Notamacropus eugenii: one gene and its partner. The main gene of each other region encodes a partner of the protein of the gene in region 2 in a complex. Links are inferred from orthologs where the notes say so. Each region holds a gene or a part of one and is shown on either strand. Other genes may lie near its edges.

Evidence for each region. The genes of interacting proteins can lie anywhere in the genome.
Region 1: the proteins of NAA50 (region 2) and NAA15 are in contact, whole or in part, in a cryo-EM structure (PDB 6PPL), measured with the Homo sapiens proteins. The link is inferred for Notamacropus eugenii from reciprocal best matches to the Homo sapiens genes NAA50 and NAA15. Residues at the interface, in NP_079422.1 of Homo sapiens: Arg5, His14, Asn15, Lys17, Gln18, Arg21, Leu22, Val25, Phe51, Asn52, Ile54, Ala55, Leu80, Pro82, Tyr83, Leu86; in NP_476516.1 of Homo sapiens: Pro369, Pro370, Thr371, Leu374, Ser403, Thr404, Pro405, Thr406, Leu407, Ile408, Phe411, Glu433, Ala436, Leu437, Asp438, Thr439, Ala440.

Annotation. Positions count from the first base shown.
Region 1 is NC_092877.1:135,835,060-135,838,804, reverse strand, and holds the start of NAA15 (N-alpha-acetyltransferase 15, NatA auxiliary subunit), read right to left. Parts: upstream 2,890-3,745; 5' UTR 2,377-2,889; coding exon 2,323-2,376; intron 1-2,322. UniProt on the Homo sapiens protein: Auxillary subunit of N-terminal acetyltransferase complexes which display alpha (N-terminal) acetyltransferase (NAT) activity. The NAT activity may be important for vascular, hematopoietic and neuronal growth and development.
Region 2 is NC_092876.1:353,945,552-353,949,296, forward strand, and holds the start of NAA50 (N-alpha-acetyltransferase 50), read left to right. Parts: upstream 1-1,257; 5' UTR 1,258-1,618; coding exon 1,619-1,626; intron 1,627-3,745. UniProt on the Homo sapiens protein: N-alpha-acetyltransferase that acetylates the N-terminus of proteins that retain their initiating methionine. Has a broad substrate specificity: able to acetylate the initiator methionine of most peptides, except for those with a proline in second position.

The sequences.
Region 1 (3,745 bases), on a different chromosome or scaffold from region 2:
GATTCAAAACCAAGTCCTCCAAATCCATTTTTCTTGCCTCTACACCAAAGTTACCAAATTTGACTAAAGAAAATACCTGTAATTATGATAACAATGTACAATACAAAAAAGTATGATAATCATATTTGTCAAGAGAAGTACTAATTCAAAATATTTCAAACTCAAATGCCCTTTAATAACTCAGAACAAGATGCACCCAAAATAAACAATATCCAATTATTTACAAAAATAAAACTGTAAAATCCCCTTGCAACCAAAGAAAAATTTGCTTAAAATTTCATGTCAAAATGTAAATAAAGTCAGTTTTTTCATTGGACAAATTATATCAGGGTGACAGAAAGGAAAGACATGCTATACAGACATGTCATTCAATTTATGATTCTACTCTTCAGATCAGAGTTAGAACAAAAGGAAGAGTTAACATCTCCAACAAAAAGCACACTTACTATTACTAAAATGGCCCAGGACCAGCCCTAACAAAATTCACTTCAGAAACTCTAATTCTGGAAGTCTCCAATGATGTAGAAACTGATTTCCTCTTTAAAAAAAAAAAAAAGGCATACACACATTTTATCATGAAACTTCAATTTGATATCAAAAATGTCAACTATTTCCCTATTTAAGTCTAATTATGAACAAATAACTATTTGACAAGAATGTTTTACTACAAGTCATTAGGAATACCCAGTTCTTCCCTAGACTGGAAAAGTCTGATCTACTAATGTTGCTCAACTTCCTAAAACACCTATGAACTGACAAACATGGATCAACTTTGAAACTCCAGACCACTAGAATGCAAAATCCCACTAGTCACTTTTTTTTCAACTCTCAAGGTAGAATAATTTTACAGCTTTCTGCTGTTTAGCGCTTAATACATCTCATGGCTTTCTGCTTACCTATTTATACTTTTCTTGGACATAATTTATAAATACGGCCAGGAAGACCTGGAGTCAAAGTCATTCCCTGACACTAACTGGAAGTCACTTAACCTCTCAGTGCTTTAGGCAACTAAGACTATGTAAGTCACTGACCTGAACTGATGAGTTTCCCTACATGAGAGTTCCTCTGTATCAAGGCAAACACAAGTCTAATCCCTATTCCTAACCTCATAAACACTATATCACAATGTCAATGTAGGATCTGGATTCTAAGGTACTTTCTTAGGAGCATTTAACTTGTTTCTAAAAATCACAGTACTTCACATGTGCGAATCATCTCAGTGTCAATCCAAGTTGCCACTCTGCAACTCCGACTGCATTTGATATTTAAGATCCAATTACACTTTTAAGAGGATGAAAACTACCAACAATTCTGATTTACTTCAATGGTACCAAAGACTAAAAAAAAATAACTATGAGATGGTGAGAGTAGTTTTCCCACCTTTTTACACAAACTACCTCGATCTCTTGTACGTGACTTCATCATACCAAATTGGTGACTTGGTTTATCAGTTTTGATTTTTTTGAAGACGATTTCCACTTTAAACTTTTCAAAGTTTAAAACATAAGACAGATTCTTAGGTTAAGTTAACAACTTACAAGTCGTTGCTGTGAAATCCTACGGATCCAGTGCCTGGGCATGGAGGGGGTACGCTCCCTACTCCACGCACACCACCAGCCAGGTGAAAACGTGCTACAATGTAGTCACTCACTGTGGCTACACATCACACTTCTCTACAAACGCCATCATGAGCTCTGATTTAGGAACGCAAACCTTCACAACAGCAACGAAAAACCCCTCAAAAGTTTGAGCAAATAGCCTCATTATTAGAGGCTTATCCTCCGCTCTGCAGCTACAGACTTGGGGCTGGGTGTCTGGCCAGGCACTCGCGTCTCATTCACAAGAAAAAGTCAATCTCACAACCAATAGCTCCAAACTTTTTTTCTTTCCTCCCGGACCGCCCCCTCCCGCCAGGCCCCACCTGGTCTCCACCTCCCGGGAAAGGGGATGGCAGAGCCGGGTCGCAGACGCGCCGGCCCCCGGCCAAGGCAGCGGGCGCAGACCGGGGCGCGGCGGGCCGAGGGGGCCTCCTGCGGCGCGCTCCGGCGGGGCGGCGCGGGGAACCCGGGCCCCGGGCGGGCGCAGGGGCCCCGGACCAACGGGGTCGCCGCGGGGGAAGACGCAGCTTGCTCTCAATGAATGAGGCCCCCGCCGCGGGGGCCCCGCACCCCCGGTCCGGGCCTAGGCGGGGCGCGGGTAGGGCCGCAGGGCGGCCGGGGCGCGAGGCACGGACGCGAGGGGCGCGCGCGGGCTGGGGCGCGGCGGCCGCCGGGCGGCCGAGCGGGAATTGCGGCGGAGCCCGGGCGCGGGGGCTGCACTCACCAGGATCCGCTTGAAGAGCGCGTTCTCCTTGGGCGGGAGGCTCACGGCCGGCATCGTCCCGGCTCCTCCCGCGGCTCCCGCCGCCGCCGCCCGGTTCGGTCGGGTCTGTCTGGGGCGCTGTGGGGGTGTGTGTGTGTGTCCGCCGCCGTCCCCGGGCTGCCTCCTCAGCCCCGAGAGCCCGCCGCCGCCGCCGCGCTGTGGCGCCCGCCCTCCCGCCGGCCTGGCCCCCTCTTCTCCGCCGCTTTTCTCTTCCTTTCCCTGTTCCTGCCGCCACCGCCGCCGCCGCCTCCCCCCGGCGGGTCCCCGTCGGCGGTTCACGTGGTAACTGAACAGACCGACAGAGGTAGCCAAAATGGCGGACGCGGAGGGCTTTCCCACCCGGGTCACACCTGATAGCGCGCAGGCGCCGTGACCTCCTTTCCCCTTTCGTCTCCTCCCCTTCCTATCCTTCCTGGTCCTCGCTTCCAGTCCCGCCCAGTGCTGGCGGCTGAGCTGCCGCGGCTCCGGAGGCCAGCGGGGCGGGGCGAGCGAAGTACGGAACTCTCCCCCCGCCCTGGCCGCTTCCCTGCCCGGGGAGCCTGGGTGCTAGCGCGCTGCCTGGCCCAGACTTGGGCATCGGAGCGGCCCAGGCTGGGGGCAGGGACGGGGTGTGCCTCCTACAACGAAAGTCTAAAGGTCACCGCGGGGCTGGTCTTCTGATAACGGAGTGGGTTACATTAGGAACCTGGAACGTCCCGGCGGGTGAGGGAACTTAACCCTCGGCCAGCCCAAGAGGAGTGCCCCCGGGGATGCCGGCTGTCCTCGCGGCCCCGCAGAGCTTCGGCTTGTTTGCCACTGAGCCTGCTCGTTGGGGCGCATTGAATTTGTAGATGAGATCCGAAAACTCCGACTCAGTAAGACCGCTTAGGAAAAAAATCTAGACATAGACTTGTGGATTAAGAGGTGGCCCGAACTTCAAGAAGAAAGTCAAAATGGGGAGAGGGGGAGGAAGGTGAAGGGCTGAGTAAACTGAGGTAGATAAATGAGTCCATCAGCCTGTCCTCTAGCTAGAGTCTAGAGCACCTAGCTAAATGTGAAACAACAAGCGCCAGCAGAATAAGAGACAGAGACCACAAGTGTAAAAGAAGAAATCTCTAAGAGGAAGTAGACGTCTAAGTGACTGAAAAAACGATAATAATCTCAGTGAAGATAATGAAACATACCTGCCTCTAAGTGGGCAGAATGTTGCCTAGTCAGTTACTCACTGTATCTTTTTTCTTAACTGTTTCTTTGTTACAAGGTTAGATTCAGGGTGGGAGAAAGGAGAGGAAGAGAAATTGCTATGATGTAATAACGAAAGACATCAATAAAACTTATTTTTCAAAAGTATAGATAATATTTGTGTTTGCATTTTGTAAGAATAACTATTGTACAAGATCAGGGA
Region 2 (3,745 bases):
GGCTCAAGCCCTGGGAACAGGCTCGGGGGCGCGGGCAGCCTCAGGGACCGAGCCGTCCCCCGCCACTCCCTCTCCCCCCGCCGCAGGGCTGCAGCCGGGTGGAGGAGCAGGCGGCAGAGCCAGTCCCGCTCTCCCGGGTCCCCAACGAAGGCGCATAACGGCCAGCCGCACTCGCCTCCGCCCGATACCGAGACCAGCCCGAGCAGGGCTGCGGCGGCCACGGAAGGAGGACCTTCTGCGAGGCTGAGACAGAAGCCCCTCGCCGGTGCGGAACGGAACTCCCTCCGGGGCCAACCCGGCCAAGGCCGCGCTCGACGCGTCTGCCCGCCCGCCAGTCCGCCCTCCCTCCGCCCGGGGCTCACCTGCTGCGGCGCGAGCTACCGAGAACTGGGCGAGCAGCGGGGGAGAGAGGAAGCCCTTCAGCTCTGTCACTGCGGACCTCGGCGATTCCAGGAGCAGCGGCAGAGGGGGCGGGGCCTCGCGAGTCAAATGACTCCCCCTAAGCCCCACCCCTTCTCTCAACCCCCCCTCCCCAAGGCGCATTGCATCTCGGGAACTGCTCTTTTAATTGGGATACTTTTAGAAACTCACTTTCTTGCTGTTTGGCTCCCCTGTTATTGCTTTTGCCAGTCCAGAAAGATACTTGTCTTAAGGAAGGGAAAACAGTCTCTCTCCATTTATAGGGTGTGAGAGCAATGGGAACGAGGTCAAAGGGTATTGCCAAGGAAATGACGTTTTTCTTCCAGGAACGGAAATGGGAATGGGGATTCCATCCCGCTGGTTCTGGTTTTAATAACCCCGGTCCTTCGGGGTGCGCAGGCCACGTGACTGAAAAAGCTCGGGTTGTGGGCAAAGTATCAGAATGTAATGTTTTTATTAACTTTTTTTAAAAGGTCCACATTATTTCGCGTTAATTATAATCTTATAATGAAAGAACAGAGGCAAATAGGTCATTCAGAGTGATATTAAAGTTCGAAGGTCACCTAAAAGGAGGCGGAATAATCCAAAAGCCCGGGAAAAGCAGGGGTGGGCTAGATTGATCCAGTCTCAGAGGGAGCAGAAAGAAGGAAAGGTAGAGGGAGGGGCAGAGAGATCCAGATTCTTCCGCTCCTAGGCCGGCGGGCTAGCCCAGTGAAAGGCGTCAGAGGGGTCAAGGGAAAGAGAGATAACCGCAGATGGTACAATCTAGGAGGTGGACGGTTTCCTAAGAGATCTCGGCTGGGGCGGAGAGAGGAAGGCGAGGCAGCGAGAGGGGGCGGGAGCAGCGAAGCTGCGTGCGCGCCGGCGCGCGCGGAGGGGGCGGGGTGAAAGGTCACGGCGGCGCGGCGGCGGGTCTTGGCTGGCTGGCGGGCAGGCGGGCTGGAGCGCTGCGAGCGGCCCCGTGTGCACATGTGGAGGAGCGGCGGCAGCCCCAGCCCCAGGGCAGCGGCCTGAGACGCCCTCGAAGGCCGCGGCTGTCCCTAGCGAATCGTGCCCGGCCTCCAGCCCGGAGGCGGTGGTGGCAACGGCTGAGGAGGCGGAGGCCGGTGTGTGGAGTAGGGTCGCTCCCGGGCTCGGGGCGCGGCGGCGGCGACGGCGGCGGGATCGGCGGTAAAGACGGCCACGGCAGACGGGGAAGATGAAAGGGTGAGGCAGGGGCGCCCGGGCAGTCCTCAGGGGAGGACGGCGGCGAGGAGAAGGAGGAGAGCGGCGAGTGCGAAACGTGCCTCGCTCTGCTTCTGGGCCGAGGGAAGCAGCTTCGATGGCGGGGAAGGAGGGAGGGCGGCCTGGTTCCGGAGGCCAGAACAGCCCCGGGCGCGGGGAGACTAGAGGCCGAGGCGGGAAGCGGGGCCTGTGCCTGGGCCGAGGCCGGGCCTCGGGGGCGCCCTGCGAGGAGGGCTCGCCGGCTGTTTTCTGGCGGAGGTAGCGAGCGAGCCGTGGTCGCTTTCTCCTGGTCTCGGTCGGGGCCCCGGCCGGCTGGTGTTGCCTCCCCGCGTGTGCCGCGACCCTGGGCAGGCGAGAGGCAGTTGTGGGCAATGGCCCACCCGGTAAAGAACTTGGGCAGGAAAGGGAGCTCGTGGTCTGACCGGAGATTCGGGTGTCAGAGGCGGGCGGGGGGAGGAGAGCCCAGAGGCCGGGGGAGGAGTGCCAAGTATTTGAGGAAGTGAGCGGGCGCTTCAGTAGGTGGAGCTCTTACCTTTCTCTGGCTGACTGACCACTTACCTAAGGCGGGCCGGGGCGGGGGGCCCCGGTTTTGTCTGGGCTCCCACCGAAGTTCGGTCCTTGTCCTGCCTCTGCGTGGGACGGCTCCAGTAGTTGCAGTTGGACAAAGTGTTTCTTTTCTGCTTTTGTCCTGATTAAAGTGTTACTGTGGTTATTTTAAAAAGAAAAACAAAAAGAACATAACTTGTATCTTAAGGCTCATTCTGAAAGAGGTTAAACTTTTTAAAAGATGTTGAAGTCCTTCCTTAGAAATAAAAATCACAAAATTTACTTTAGTAAAATAAAAATTTGTGCTCATTTTTCGTTTAAAGATTGTGGACTTATGGATTTTGGATAGTAAAGGCAAGCTGTTCAAAATCTATGGTTAGAACTAGGCACTAACTTTTTTTTTTTTTTTTTTTTTAGTAAGCTAACTAAGCTCGTTGGGCAAATTTGTAGTTAGGATGAGAAACTAACCTTTTAAACATTGTTGAAGTTGACCTGCTAGGGTTATCAAAAAGTTCTGTGATTTAATTTAGCTTCAGTTTTGCTACACTTCCTTCTTTTTAAAAATTTTAAGTCTGAAATTTGTTATGATGGTGATTTGTTGATTTCTAATCAACTTTGATAGCAAACTTAAAAAACGTTTTGTCCTTGGTCAGAAATTTTTCCTAGAGTGTTATACACCTTTTATCTCTGCCTCTGCTGTTGTCTTTATTATCAGCATAAGGTCAACTGAGATAAAATGTAAAGCATTTTTCAGATCTTAAAACTTACCTGTTATGATTAATTAGGCAACTACTATCCTTGATAGAGTTGACTTACCAGCACATTTATTGGTGCTAATTAAAATTTAACAAAAGGACATGACGGTGAGATGGGACTATTAATATCTTTTTTTCTAAAAGGTGTGTGGGTTTTAGTTGTTTTTTTTAAGAATCTGAAACCACTAATTAGCCTGAAATGTGGGAAAGGTAGTAAACATGTATATTCTTTGGCACTTGAGTTTCATTTAAGTAGTACATTGAGTGACATAGGAACTATGGGTCATCAGTCTTGTTTTGATTATCATCATAGATTTAGAGCTGGAACAGATCTTGAAGGCCTTCTAGTCCAGCTTACTCTTTTAGATGAATCAACACGCCTAGAGAAGGTTGTGACTTGCAGAACCAGGATTTGAACTCTTGACTTCAAATCCTTCAATCTTCATTTCATAGATTTTTATACCTAGAAAGGGACATTAAATAGGATTTCTTAACTTTTTTGTGTTATCAACCCCTTTGGCAGTTTTGTCCCCTTCAGAATGTTTGTACACATAATTGATAGAAAACCTGCATTTCAGTTAGAAGTTAGTAAAAACAAAGATATAATTTTTTTACCCATCAAAGTTCACAGACCCTCTGAAATTGATCCATTTACTTGTGGATCCCAGCTTAAGAACCCCTGACCTAGTCCAACTCTGGTTGGTTACTGGTTGATTCCTCCCAGCTGCTAGTGCCTCTTTTGTATATGTGTATGTATCCATTCTCTTTCCCATTCATATATAAACTTTAAGGTTTCGGTT